Macaca fascicularis: one gene and its partners. The protein of the gene in region 1 purifies or fractionates together with the protein of each later gene. This does not show direct contact. Links are inferred from orthologs where the notes say so. Each region holds a gene or a part of one and is shown in the gene's direction. Other genes may lie near its edges. The genes, in order: NUP160, NUP43 and SEH1L.

Region 1 (4,255 bases):
CACCTCCCAGGTTCAAGCGGTTCTCCTGCCTCAGCTTCCCAAGCAGCTGGGATTACATGCACGCACCATCATGCCCCCGCTAATTTTTCTTTTTCTTTTTTTTTTTTTTTTTGGAGACTGAGTCTTGCTCTGTCACCCAGGCTGGAGTGCAGTGGCGCGATCTAGGCTCACTGCAACCTCTGCCTCCCGGGTTCAAGTGATTCTCCTGCCTCAGCCTCCCGAGTAGCTGGGATTACAGGCGTGCATTACCATGCCCGGCTAATTTTTTGTATCTCACTGTTTCACCATGTTGGCCAGGCGGGTCTGGAACTCCTTACCTCGTGATCTGCCCACCTCGGCCTCCCAGAGTGCTAGGATTACAGGCGTGAGCCACTGCGCCCGGCTAATTTTTCTGTTTTTCGTAGAGGCCGGGTTTCACCATGTTGGCCAGGCTGGTCTTGAACTCCTGACCTCAAGTGATCCTCAAGTCTTGGACTCCCAAAGTGCTGGGATTACAGGCGTGAGCCACCACACCCGACCTTGGTGTATAGTTTTCTTCAGGCACGTTCAGCTACAGATTTGAATGTAATCGAAGTTGTTTTTACTGATGAAGAGTTAGGCAATGAAGTAATTTAATGGTATTCAGGATAAGGAAGAAACACCAAAGAAGTGAGGGACAGTGAAGAGCTTGTATAACAATGGATTTCAGGTAGAATGAGGGGGCTGCACTGCCAAAGTTGGTGTCCCAGAGGGAGTGAAGTGGAAAGATAGGAAATGATGGTCGGAACCAGATAAATGAAACGGAGAATGACAGGGAATGGCTGTGGTCACTGGTAATAGAAGTGACCAACAAGCGTTGGCTATCACTAAGGAACAAAACCTTCCCTGCTGGAGATTAGCATTTTCCCCGATTTTGAACATCTACCCCCACAATATCTTCTAAACATCCACTATGGGCCCTTATTGCATTGACAGCCAAGTGCAAGATCACGGTTGGAATGAATGGCAAATTCTTTTCACGTATCCAAGTGAGTAGCACTCAGGTAACCTCAGCAGGTGGCAGCATCAAGGTTTACCACATTACGTTTCATTATACAGGAATACACGAATACAGTCTCTTGGGGGGAAAAAAGACCAAAACCAAAGGCCCTTCCCTCACTACCCCTTCCTCACCCCGCCAACCCAAGTGCCACTGAAGAGCGAAGGGAGGATCGGCAAAGATTTACAGACGGACACCCTAACCGAGGGAGAGGTGACCAAACACCCGGGATCCGGCAGAGGACGCCCAAAGGCCGGACCTCCCCGGACCTCGCCCCTCCTGGGAGACTGAGCCCCGCGTTTTGGAAACAGAAACAAACCCGGTCCCGCCCCCTGCCCTGCGGCCGCTGAGAAAAGGGCACCGCCCTCCGGAGGCGTTCCAGCCGGCCACTCGAAGATTCCAGCAGATACAGTCGGCCTCCCCTGCCCGCTTCTCTTCTGGATTCCCCGCTGCCCATCCTCATTCTCCCGGTGGAAGCCCCGCAACGAAGGACCGGAGCCCCCTTTCTGCTCCCGGGATGCTTCACCCGTCCGCAGCTCCGCCCGCCCCGCCCCCGGAAGTGACGGCGGCCGCGCGGCCCTGCCTTTGTCCCGTCGGGCATCGCGGCGACGGCGGGAAGATGGCGGCGGCGGGATCCCTGGAACGAAGCTTCGTGGAGCTAAGCGGGGCTGAGCGCGAAAGGCCGAGGCACTTTCGGGAATTCACAGTCTGCAGCATTGGTACGGAAGTGGCCAGGGAGGGCGCGATCCGATCTGTCCCCTCGGGCTCCTCTCATGGGTCCTAGGGTCTCTGACTGCTGGGTTCATCCTCCTGAGTCCACATGCCTCCAGCCCCGGGATCAGAGATTCCTTGATGTCCGACGTTTTCCTCTTTTCTTTGTATGGGTTGTCAGTCTGTCACCCTCTGCTTTATCAGGTCCCTTAGTCCCTGTCATTTCTCAGAAGACGCGTGTGCAGGCTGACCACGTTCATTTTGCAGGGACCGCAAATGCCGTGGCTGGCGCCGTAAAATACAGTGAGAGCGCGGGAGGCTTTTACTATGTGGAGAGTGGCAAGTTGTTCTCCGTAACCAGAAACAGGTTCATTCATTGGTAAGTGCTGTGGTTCGCCAAACTCCCCTGGAAGGTAGGGTTTGGTGTGTAAATTTTAGTTGCTGTTCCCAAAGTGCTATTCTAGAAGCGGTAATCGACACTTAGGGAAAGAGAAAGTTTTTTTTTTTCAGTTCGTATCAGAGTCGGGAAAACTGAGACACAGTTCTAGAAGAGTTTACCCTCCCCCCCCACCAATACACACACACACACCAAGCAACACCAAAAGCAGAGGGAATGTAGCTTAGGGGTATAAAGCCCATAAGACTAGTTTTAAACATGAACCCATTATGTTTTTATAGTGCTTTACAGCTTCCTTCATTGAACAAATATGTTCGAGCTTCAATATGTCAGGCATTGTGCTAGGTACCAGGACGAAATGAACAAAACTGCCATCTTCATCATGCAAGACGTTGTAGCAATGTCAGAATAGTTGTGGACTCACTTTTCATGGGGAAATTTTGTGGAGGAAAACTTGCCCTAGAGGAAAAATACAGGGGTTACGAGAGGCTAATGAGAGGACCAAATGTTATTAGTGGGGCAGGAAAAGGCTTTCACAGTTACCCTGAGGTCTAAAGGACACGAGGTTAGCCAGGTATGGGGAGTGGACAGAGAGGAGTCCAGCAAGCAGGATCACCATATGCAAAGGTCACAAAGTGGAAAGAATGTGGCAGGTTTGGAACTGACCAAAGATCTGTGTGGCTTAAGTGCAGTGGGTAAAACAGAAAGTAATGTGAGATACTGAGGCTGGAGAGGTAGGCAGGACTCGGACCATGAGGGACCCTTAGGCCATTTTTAAGGATTTTTGGATTTTATCCTAAGTACATTGAGTAATAATGGAATAGGTTTTTAAAGAGTTACTAACATCAAAATTGCATTTTTGGATGGGAACAGTTAACACTGGGGATTCCAAAAGGAGCGGGGGAGCAGAGGTTGGAAAACCTATCAGTTACTGTGTTCACAACTTGGGCGGCAGGATCATTAGAAGCCCAAACCTCATGTAGATAGGAATATATACACAATATACTCATGTAACAAAGCTGCACATGTACCCCTGAATCTAAATTTTTTAAAATGTATTTTTAGAAGATCTCAGTCTACTTTGTGGAAAGTGGATTTGGATTAGATGGGTATAATGCAAAAAAAAGTTTGCTTTTATGATGGCCCAAGTAAGGGTTGCTGGTGGTTCAATTGTGGGAATGAATAGAAATAGAAAAGTAGATGGATTCAAGATACCTTTGGAAGATAGATTCACTAGGACTTGGTGGTGGATTGAATATGGGGTAAGGGATGGTAAAAGAAAAGGAGAGAACAAGGACAGCTCCCTGGTGTCTCATGTGACTAACCAGATGTGAGTGGGGAGGGGTTGCCATTTACAGAGATCCATAGAAGATGGATTTTGGAAAGATATGAATAATTCTGTTGGACATAGTAAATTTGAAGTACCTGGGGAGCAGCCCTTTGGAAATGTCAAGTAGGCATTGAAATTTACAGGTCTAAGGCTCAAAAGAGAGACTTTATGTTAGAGATACAAATTTCATTTAGTTAAATATTTTGGCTGGGCACAGTGGCTCACACCTGTAATCCCAGCACTTTGGGGGGCTGAGGTGGGAGGATCTCTTGAGGCCAGGAGTTCAAGACCCCATTTCTACAATTTTTTTTCTTTTTTCTTTCTGTTTTTTTTTCTTTTCTTTTTGAGAGACAGTCTGGTGGCTCCATTGTCCAGGCTGGAGTGCAGTGGTGCAATCATGGCTCACTGCAGTCTCCGCCTCCTGGGTTCAAGTGACCCTCCCACCTCAGCCTCCCAAGTAGCTGCAATTACAGGTATGCGCCACCATGCCCAGCTGATTTTTCTATTTGTTTTTGTAGAGATGGGGTTTTGCCTGGTTGCCCAGGCTGGTCTTGGACTGCCGAACTCAAGCAGTGCCCCATTCTCGGCCTCCCAACTTGCTGGGATTACAGGCGGAGCCACCATGGCCGGCCTGATTTTTAAAAATTAGCCAGGCGGGGTGGCATGTGCCTTTCATCTTAACCACTCAGGAGGCTGAGGCGGGAGGATCTGATCATGCCACTGCACTCCAGCTTGGGAAACAGGGTAAGACCCCATCTCTTTTATAAAAACAGGAAGAAATAAAGGAAATTTGCTTCCC
Region 2 (3,552 bases), on another chromosome or scaffold:
ACCGTGCCCAGCTACTATTTTCATTTATTTCCTTGCCCAGTACACAAATTTATTTGGCTTCTTTTTCCTTTTTTTTTTTCTCAGTCTCACTTTGTCACCGAGGCTGGAGTGCAGTGGTGCAAGCTCGCGCAACCTCCGCCTCCCAGGTTCAAGTGATTTTCCTATCTCAGCCTCCTAAGTAGCTGGGACTACAAGCATGCACCACCACGCCTGGCTAACTTTTGTATTTTTAGTAGAGATGGTATTTCACCATGTTGCCCAGGCTGGTCTTGACCTTAGCTGATCCACCCGCCTTAGCCTCCCAAAGTGTTCTTTTTCCTTTCTACATGTTATAGGCATTGGAAAGTTATGTTATGTCTTTAATTCTGAAACCTTTAATTTTTATGATAGACTTGAGGCTTGAAGGTATGCGATGGAGGATAATGGAAGATGGTGCCTAGAGATGGGGGTTTAATGTTGTTTGTTCAGCGAATCTGCACAGGAATGAGCTTCTTGATTCTTGTCTCTTAGTGTGGGAAGTTCACTTTCACCCATCCAACCCAGATCATCTATTTACCTGCTCTGAAGATGGATCCCTCTGGCACTGGGATGCTTCCACAGATATACCTGAAAAGTCATCACTCTTTCACCAAGGTACAACTTTTTAATGAATACTCTTACGTGTAATCTCTCTCTTTTTTTTTTTTTTTTAAAAGACAGAGTCTCACTCTGTCACCCAGGCTGGAATGCAGTGGCACGATCTCAGTTCACTGCAGTCTCTGCCTCCGGGGTTCAAGTGATTCTTGTGCCTCAGCCTCTCGAGCAGCGGGGACTACAGTCATGCACCACCATGCCTGGCTAATTTTTTTGTATTTTTAGTACAGATGGGGTTTCACCATGTTGGCCAGGCTGGTCTCGAACTCCTGATCTCAAATGATCCGCCTGCCTCAGCCTCCCAAAATGCTGGGATTACAGGAGTGAGCCACCATGTTTGGCCTTTTTCTTTTCTTTTTTTTTTTTTTTTTGGATACAGAGTCTTAGTCACCCAGGCTGGAGTGCTGGAGTGCAATGGTGCAGTCTTGGCTCAGTGCAACCTCTGCCTGTCGGGTTCAAGCTTTTCTTGTGCCTCAGCTTCCCTAGTAGCTGGGATTACAGGTGTGTGCCACCACACCTGGCTAATTTTTTTGTATTTTTAGTAGAGATGGGGTTTTGCCGTGTTGGCCAGGCTGGTTTCGAACTCCTGGCCTTAAGTGATCTGCCACCTCAGCCTCCCCAAAATGCTGGGATTACAGGCGTGAGCCACTGTGCCCAGCCTGTTATGTGTAATTTTATCGTACTTTAATTTTGTTTGTTTTGTTTTGTTTTGTTTGAGACAGGGTCTCACTCTGACATGCAGGCTGGACTGCAGTGGCATGGTCACAGCTTGCTACATCCTCGCCCTCCTGGACTTAAGCAATCCTCCTGCCCCAGCCTCCCAAGTAGCTGAGAGCAGAGGTTCTTGCCACCACAACCAGCTAATTAAAAAAAAATTTTTTTGTACAGACGAGCTCTCACTATTCTGCCCAGGCGTGTCTTGAACTCCTGAGCTCAAGTGATCCTCCTGCCTGGGCCTCCCGAGGTGCTGCTGTTATAAGCATGAGCTGCTGTACCCAGCCTTGTTATACTTTTAAATACCAAATTAGACATCCTTGTAGTTTTTACTTAATGGCAAAACATTTTTATTCTCTTGCCTCAGAGTAAATTTGAGTATCACAGGGCTTGAAATCTGACTGTCAAGTTACTTACTACTGTATGGCTGATGGCTAGAAATGCTGTAAGCTGGCTCACTTGAGACAGCCAAGGTTCTTCTTTGCGAGTGCCATTGACCTAGACCCTCATGCCATAGCACAGACACAGGCAAATCTTTTATATTGCATTGCCAAGTTTGTGTGAATGGCAAGAAAAAAGTTGATATTTGATGTAACTGAGGGTACTGGTTTTTTCTCAAGTTGTGCCGGGTGTGGTGGCTCATGCCTGTAATCCCAACACTTTGGGAGGCCGAGGCGGGTGGGTCATCTGAGGTTGAGAGTTCGAGACCAACCTGACCAACATGGAGAAACCTCATCTCTACTAAAAATACAAAATTAGCCTGGTGTGGTGGCGCATACCTGTAATCCCAGCTACTCAGGAGGCTGAGGCAGAAGAATCACTTTTACCCGGGAGATGGATGTTGCAGTGAGCCGAGATCGTACCATTGCACTCCAGCCTGGATAGCAAGAGTAAAACTCCGTCTCAAAAAAAAAAAAAAAAGAAAAGGGCCTGCTTTTCCTCATTATAGTCAGTGGTAGGTTATGGTCAGCCAAAAACCATTCTCTTGTTGTAATCAAGGGTTTGTAGGTTTTTGCATTTTCCAAGTTTCCTGTTTTTGAGGGTTTGTCTGTGGTTCCATAGTTCTTTTGCTTATTCATTCATTCAGAAATATTTACTGAATGCCTATCATGTAGGCATTCTTCTAGGTGTTAGGGCATATAACAGTGAGCAGAACGAAATGTCAACACGCATAGAGCAAATATTCTAGTAGACAGTTAAAAAATAGATAATGTATCAATAAGAGTCCAATCAGAATGTCAGAAACTACCTTTGATGTAGAGGGAATTGGTCTCACATGTGTTAGAAGGGCTGGGAAAACAAAAGGTAATAGGAGAGGGGTTGAGAGAACAAATAGGAAAAAAGGGAGCACCCAGAAATAATAATTGTTAGTACCCCTGCTACTGCATTGTTGAAAATGCTGTAAAAGTTTGTTCTGAATCAGCAGAAAAGGCGCTCCCTCAACCAGGCTGGAACTACCACCAGTGTTGTTGCTAGAAACCTGGAGCAGGAAGGAGCTGCTTCTCCCCTCTGTCTTCCAGTCACTCACCATGAATACCTGCTATTGGCAAGGCCCATCTGGATGGCAGATGCCAAAGAGCCTGGAAAGTGGAGTTTGCTGACTTCCACCCCCTACAGTATATAGCAGAGCACAGAAAAGTGGAAAGGAGACCGAAAAGAAAAAGGAGGCCGGGCGCAGTGGCTAACGCCTGTAATCCCAACAATTTGGGAGGCCAAGGTGGGCAGATCACCTGAGGCCAGGAGTTCGAGACCAGCCTGGTCCAACGTGGTGAAACCCTGTCTCTACTAAAAATACAAAAATTAGCTGGGCGTGGTGGTGGATGCCTGTAATCCCAGCTACTTGGGAGGCTGAGGCCGGTGAATCGCTTGAATCTTGGAGTTAGACGTTGCAGTGAGCCAAGATCGTGCCACTGCACTCCAGCCTGGGCAACAGAGTGAGACTCTGTCTCAAAAAAAAATAAAAGAAAAAGGAAAATAATGTGGCCAAATACACTGCTAATTACCATGAAGAAGAATACACAAGAGTAGGTGGAAAAACAATAAAGACAGGGGTGACGGGAGCTACTCTAGTTAGAGAGTCGTAAGAAGAAGCCACTTGGCAGAAGGAACATTTGAGCAGAGACTTAAGAGAAGTGAAGGTGTAAGTGACATGAAAGCATTCTAGGCAGAGGAAACAGCAAATGCTGAGGACCTGAGACAGGCAGA
Region 3 (4,205 bases), on another chromosome or scaffold:
CTGTTTTGGTATTTTAATAATAATCAATATATTTTGATTGGACTTTCATAGTGAGCACTTTCTTTGGATATGAGTGTCTTTGACCCTCAAAAAAGTTATAGTTGTTATCAGTTATCATAAGAGGTGGGGTACACCTCTTAAGGTAGCAATACAATCTTATTTACGGTTGAAAAAGGTCATTTCGCCACTTCTGTTTGCAGGTTTCTGTGCAATCCGTCAGGGGACAGCTGGGACCAATCATTTAAAAACCTTTCCAGCCTGCTAATCTTACCATACCTCACATTCTTGTCATTCCTGGCCAAAATCCAAAGGGATTTCCTACAGCCTCATTTTTAGTTTTTTTTTTCTTCTGTACTTTCGCTCCCCTGACGCAAGCTTCCACCGTCTCCATCCTAAACTTTCCCACTACGCCCTCCAGAATGCCTTTTCCTATAAGCAAGCCCCCTGAGTCGCTGGCGTCTCGGAAGAGGCTCCTCCACTCTCCGTTGTGGCGGAATCCGTGATCCGAGCCAGGCGTCCTCCCGGGGGTCTGGTCCTCTTCACCTCCTTTCCCCGAGGACTCCGCCTCCCGGCGAGCAGGCGGCCCAGTTCCCCGGCTGCTTCCTTCCCCCGGGATGACGTTTCTACCGGCGGGCTCTGGTAATTCCTACTGTTTCCCTACCCCGTGGTGGCTCCTGGAACCCCCGGGCCCGGTCTGCCGGCAAAACGTTGACGCATTTAAACTAGTACTTCCGATCCTCTCCTCCCCGTCCAGCCTGCGCTCTTCGGCGGCCGAGCCTGGACTGCCCGTCATGCCCTCAGGCGTCTCCCCGGCCCTCCCGGCTCCTCGGCCGTCCCTGCGGAGCGCGGCTCCTGACCACGCCCACGGCTCGCCGCCTCCACCCGCTCCGCGCGCCTCGCACGTGTCTGGGGGAAACGAGGACCGCGAGAGCAGTCTTCACTTTCTCATCCTTCTTCATTTCACAGTATACAAATAACCTCTTACTGCTTCTCATCACAGGTAACTCGCCTTTTGCAGAGCAACCGCCGCCGCCGAACGCTCAGAGCCCGGAGGCACCCGCACCAGTCCCGCAGGACGTGCGGCGCCGAGGACAGGGCGGGGCTTGAGGGGGCGGGAGGGCGGGGCGAGGCATGACGGCCCGGGGGGTAGGCGGGGCTTACGGGCCAGGGGGCGGGGCGAGGCTTCAGGGACCGAGGGGTGGGGCGAGTCATGATGAGCCAGGGCCTGGGCGGGGCTTGAGGGGCCAGGGGACGGTGTGGGGCTGGACGGGCCCGTGGGTGGGGCGGGGCTTGAGGGACCGGGGGTGTGGGCGGGGCTTGATGGGCAGGGGCGGGGCGGGGGCGTGGGCAGCACGCGCCGTGCGCTCCCGGGCTGCGAGGTCGGGCGAGGCTGCGGGCCGCGCGCCGCCGCCGCTGCCGCCGCCACTGTCCTCTTCGGAGGCGCGGGCCCGACGGAAGCCATGTTTGTGGCTCGCAGCATCGCGGCGGACCACAAGGATCTCATCCACGATGTCTCTTTCGACTTCCACGGGCGGCGGATGGCGACCTGCTCCAGCGATCAGAGCGTGAAGGTGCGCGCGGCGCTTGCGGGCGGGGCCGAGCCCGGAAGGAGGGGGAGTGGGTGGGCGGTGCGGGGAACACGGCTGTGTCTGGGTTTCAGTGACGCCGCGGGAAGCTGTGGGGTGGCGGCCGAGCCCTGGCTGGACGGGGCGGAAGCCCTCCCCGCCCGCGTATTGTGGGGTCACGGCGGCCTCGCGGGCCGCGCTCCCGTGCGCCTGCGCAGCTGGTGCCGCGTGCGCGCTCCCGCCCGCAGGGGACGCCGGGCTTTCGCTCGGGCAGCGCTGCGGTGGCTGCGGGCGGGAACCCGGGGGCGGGAACCCGGGGGCGGGAACCCGGGGGCGGGAACCCGGGGGCGGGAACCCGGGGGCGGGAACCCGGGGGCGGGAACCCGGGGGCGGGAACCCGGGGGCGGGAACCCGGGGGCGGGAACCCGGGGGCGGGAACCCGGGGGCGTCCCGCCGTCCGCCTGGGCGTGGCGTGTCTTGCCCGCACTGTTCACTCGAGGACCTGCAGTGGGACCTGGTGGGAGACTCTGCCTGGCCGGCGCTGTGTCGAGTTCTGTGCCCCGCCGGTGTTCTCTTACTGGGGCACATGGTTTTCTCCCTGGGTTCAGAGCAGAAGTTCACTTTGTTACGCCAAGGAAGAAAAATACAAACCGTTTACATCCAATGACTTCTCTGCTTGCTGCGCAGGAATGGGAGGGTTTGTTTCTTGAAGTTCCTGTAAAAGTCTGTAGACACTTCCGACAAGCAGAATTTCTTTTTTTTTTTTTTTTTTTGAGACAGAGTCACTGTCACCTAGGCTAGACTGCAGGGGCACGATCTCGGCTCACTGCAACCTCCGCCTCCCGGGTTCAAGCGATTATCCTGCCTCAGCATCCCCACGTAGCTGGGATTACAGGTGCGCGCACCACGCCTGGCTAATTTTTTGTTTGTATTTTTTAGTAGAGATGGTGTTTCACCATGTGGGCCAGGCTGATCTTGAACTCCTGACCTCGTGATCCGCCCGCCTCGTCCTCCCGAAGTGCTGAGATTACAGGAATGTGGGGATGCTATATGGGATTTAGGGACCTCCCAGATGTGTTGCAGGATGAATGAAAGCTGGAGTGCGGCTTATTTTGGTTCTCGACAACTCCAGAGTCACTGAAAATCTAAAGGACAGTTTTTCCTTTTTCACATTCGAGTTTGATACCAATGATCTCTCAAAGATAAACTTTTTATAGGTAGTGTTGCAGTTCTTAAACGATGTAGTTTCTTTTTTTGAAACAAGTTTATTTTTGTTGTAATAAACTACGTTAACCGTTTTAAAGTGTAGAATTCAGTGACATTGAGCACAGCATTCACATTGCTGGGCAGCGTCACCACTGCTCATCTCCAGAACCTTTTCATCATCCTAAACTGAAACTCTGTACCCGAGAGCACCCTGTTGCCTCCAGCTCACCCTCTGGTAACCTCTTTTCTACTACTTTCTATTAATTTGCATATTCTAGGTACCTCAGATAAATAGAATCATAGAATATTCGCCCTTTTATATTTGGTTTATTTCACTTAATTTTTTTTTCTTTTTCCTTTTTTTTTTTTGAGACAAGGTCTGGCTCTGTCACCTAGACTGAAGTGCAGTGGTGCGATCTTGGCTTTTTGCAGCCTCAACATCCCAGGTTCAGGCCATCCTCCCACCTCAGCCTCCCCGGTAGCTGAGACTACAAATGCACGCCACCACGCCTGCCTACAGATTGTTTTTGTAGAGGCAGGGTCTTGCTGTGTTGTCCAGGCTAGTCTCGAACCCCTGGGCTCAAGTGATCCTCTCACCTCAGCCTCCCAGAGTGCTGGGATTACAGGTGCGAGTCACCTTGCCCAGCCCGCTTATGTCCATTTATTCCAGAGTACTTTTTTTTTTAAAGGAGGAGCCATGTATTTATTTGTATATATTTTTAAATGAACAAGTAATATATTTTTCTTTTTAGAGAGTAAAAAAATTACAGGCTTATTGCTAATGTTTGTTAATATTTATTGATTTCCTCTGTTTTTCCTTTAACGTTTTAAATTGCCATGGTACAGTGTGTGTATATACATACATGTCTTGTGAGAAATAGTGTTGTACTGAAAATTTTCATTAGTTTAGCATTTTATGTATTTTGAATGATTTTCTTAGGCTAATTCCAGAAGAGAAATTAGTGGATATTTTAAAAACTAGTGAAGAGAATTGGCAAATTGCTATTTTTCAGGTTATACCGTTTTTATACTGCCAGTGATAGTATTGATTTCATAGTGTTGTTGCCCTCGTTACATTTTTAATAGGTGAAATGGGCACCTTCTTACTGTAATCTATATTTTTTCTGGGTAATAAGGTTCAATTTTTTTTTTTTTTTTTGAGACGGAGTCTTGCTCTGTCACCCAGGCTGGAGTGCAGTGGCCGGATCTCAGCTCACTGCAAGCTCCGCCTCCCGAGTTTACGCCATTCTCCTGCCTCAGCCTCCCGAGTAGCTGGGACTACAGGCGCCGCCACGTCGCCCGGCTATTTTTTTTGTATTTTTTAGTAGAGACGGGGTTTCACCGTGTTAGCCGGGATCGTCTCTCGATCTCCTGACCTCGTGATCCGCCCGTCTCGGCCTCCCAAAGTGCTGGGATTACAGGCTTGAGCCACCG

The links.
Region 2: the proteins of NUP160 (region 1) and NUP43 purify together in Homo sapiens (affinity purification with mass spectrometry; 5 studies listed by BioGRID and IntAct, counting the BioPlex papers as one, with this or other methods). This does not show direct contact. The link is inferred for Macaca fascicularis from reciprocal best matches to the Homo sapiens genes NUP160 and NUP43.
Region 3: the proteins of NUP160 (region 1) and SEH1L fractionate together in Homo sapiens (co-fractionation; 3 studies listed by BioGRID and IntAct, with this or other methods). This does not show direct contact. The link is inferred for Macaca fascicularis from reciprocal best matches to the Homo sapiens genes NUP160 and SEH1L.

The regions. Positions count from the first base shown.
Region 1 is NC_088388.1:17,983,457-17,987,711, forward strand, and holds the start of NUP160 (nuclear pore complex protein Nup160), read left to right. Parts: upstream 1-1,406; 5' UTR 1,407-1,535; coding exon 1,536-1,737; intron 1,738-1,996; coding exon 1,997-2,108; intron 2,109-4,255. UniProt on the Homo sapiens protein: Functions as a component of the nuclear pore complex (NPC). Involved in poly(A)+ RNA transport.
Region 2 is NC_088378.1:57,718,876-57,722,427, reverse strand, and holds part of NUP43 (nucleoporin Nup43), read left to right. Parts: intron 1-510; coding exon 511-633; intron 634-2,773; coding exon of another isoform or gene 2,774-2,823; exon of another isoform or gene 2,824-2,867; coding exon of another isoform or gene 2,868-2,971; exon of another isoform or gene 2,972-3,105; intron 3,106-3,552. UniProt on the Homo sapiens protein: Component of the Nup107-160 subcomplex of the nuclear pore complex (NPC). The Nup107-160 subcomplex is required for the assembly of a functional NPC.
Region 3 is NC_088392.1:81,000,888-81,005,092, forward strand, and holds the start of SEH1L (nucleoporin SEH1), read left to right. Parts: upstream 1-1,369; 5' UTR 1,370-1,460; coding exon 1,461-1,571; exon of another isoform or gene 1,572-1,575; intron 1,576-4,205. UniProt on the Homo sapiens protein: Component of the Nup107-160 subcomplex of the nuclear pore complex (NPC). The Nup107-160 subcomplex is required for the assembly of a functional NPC.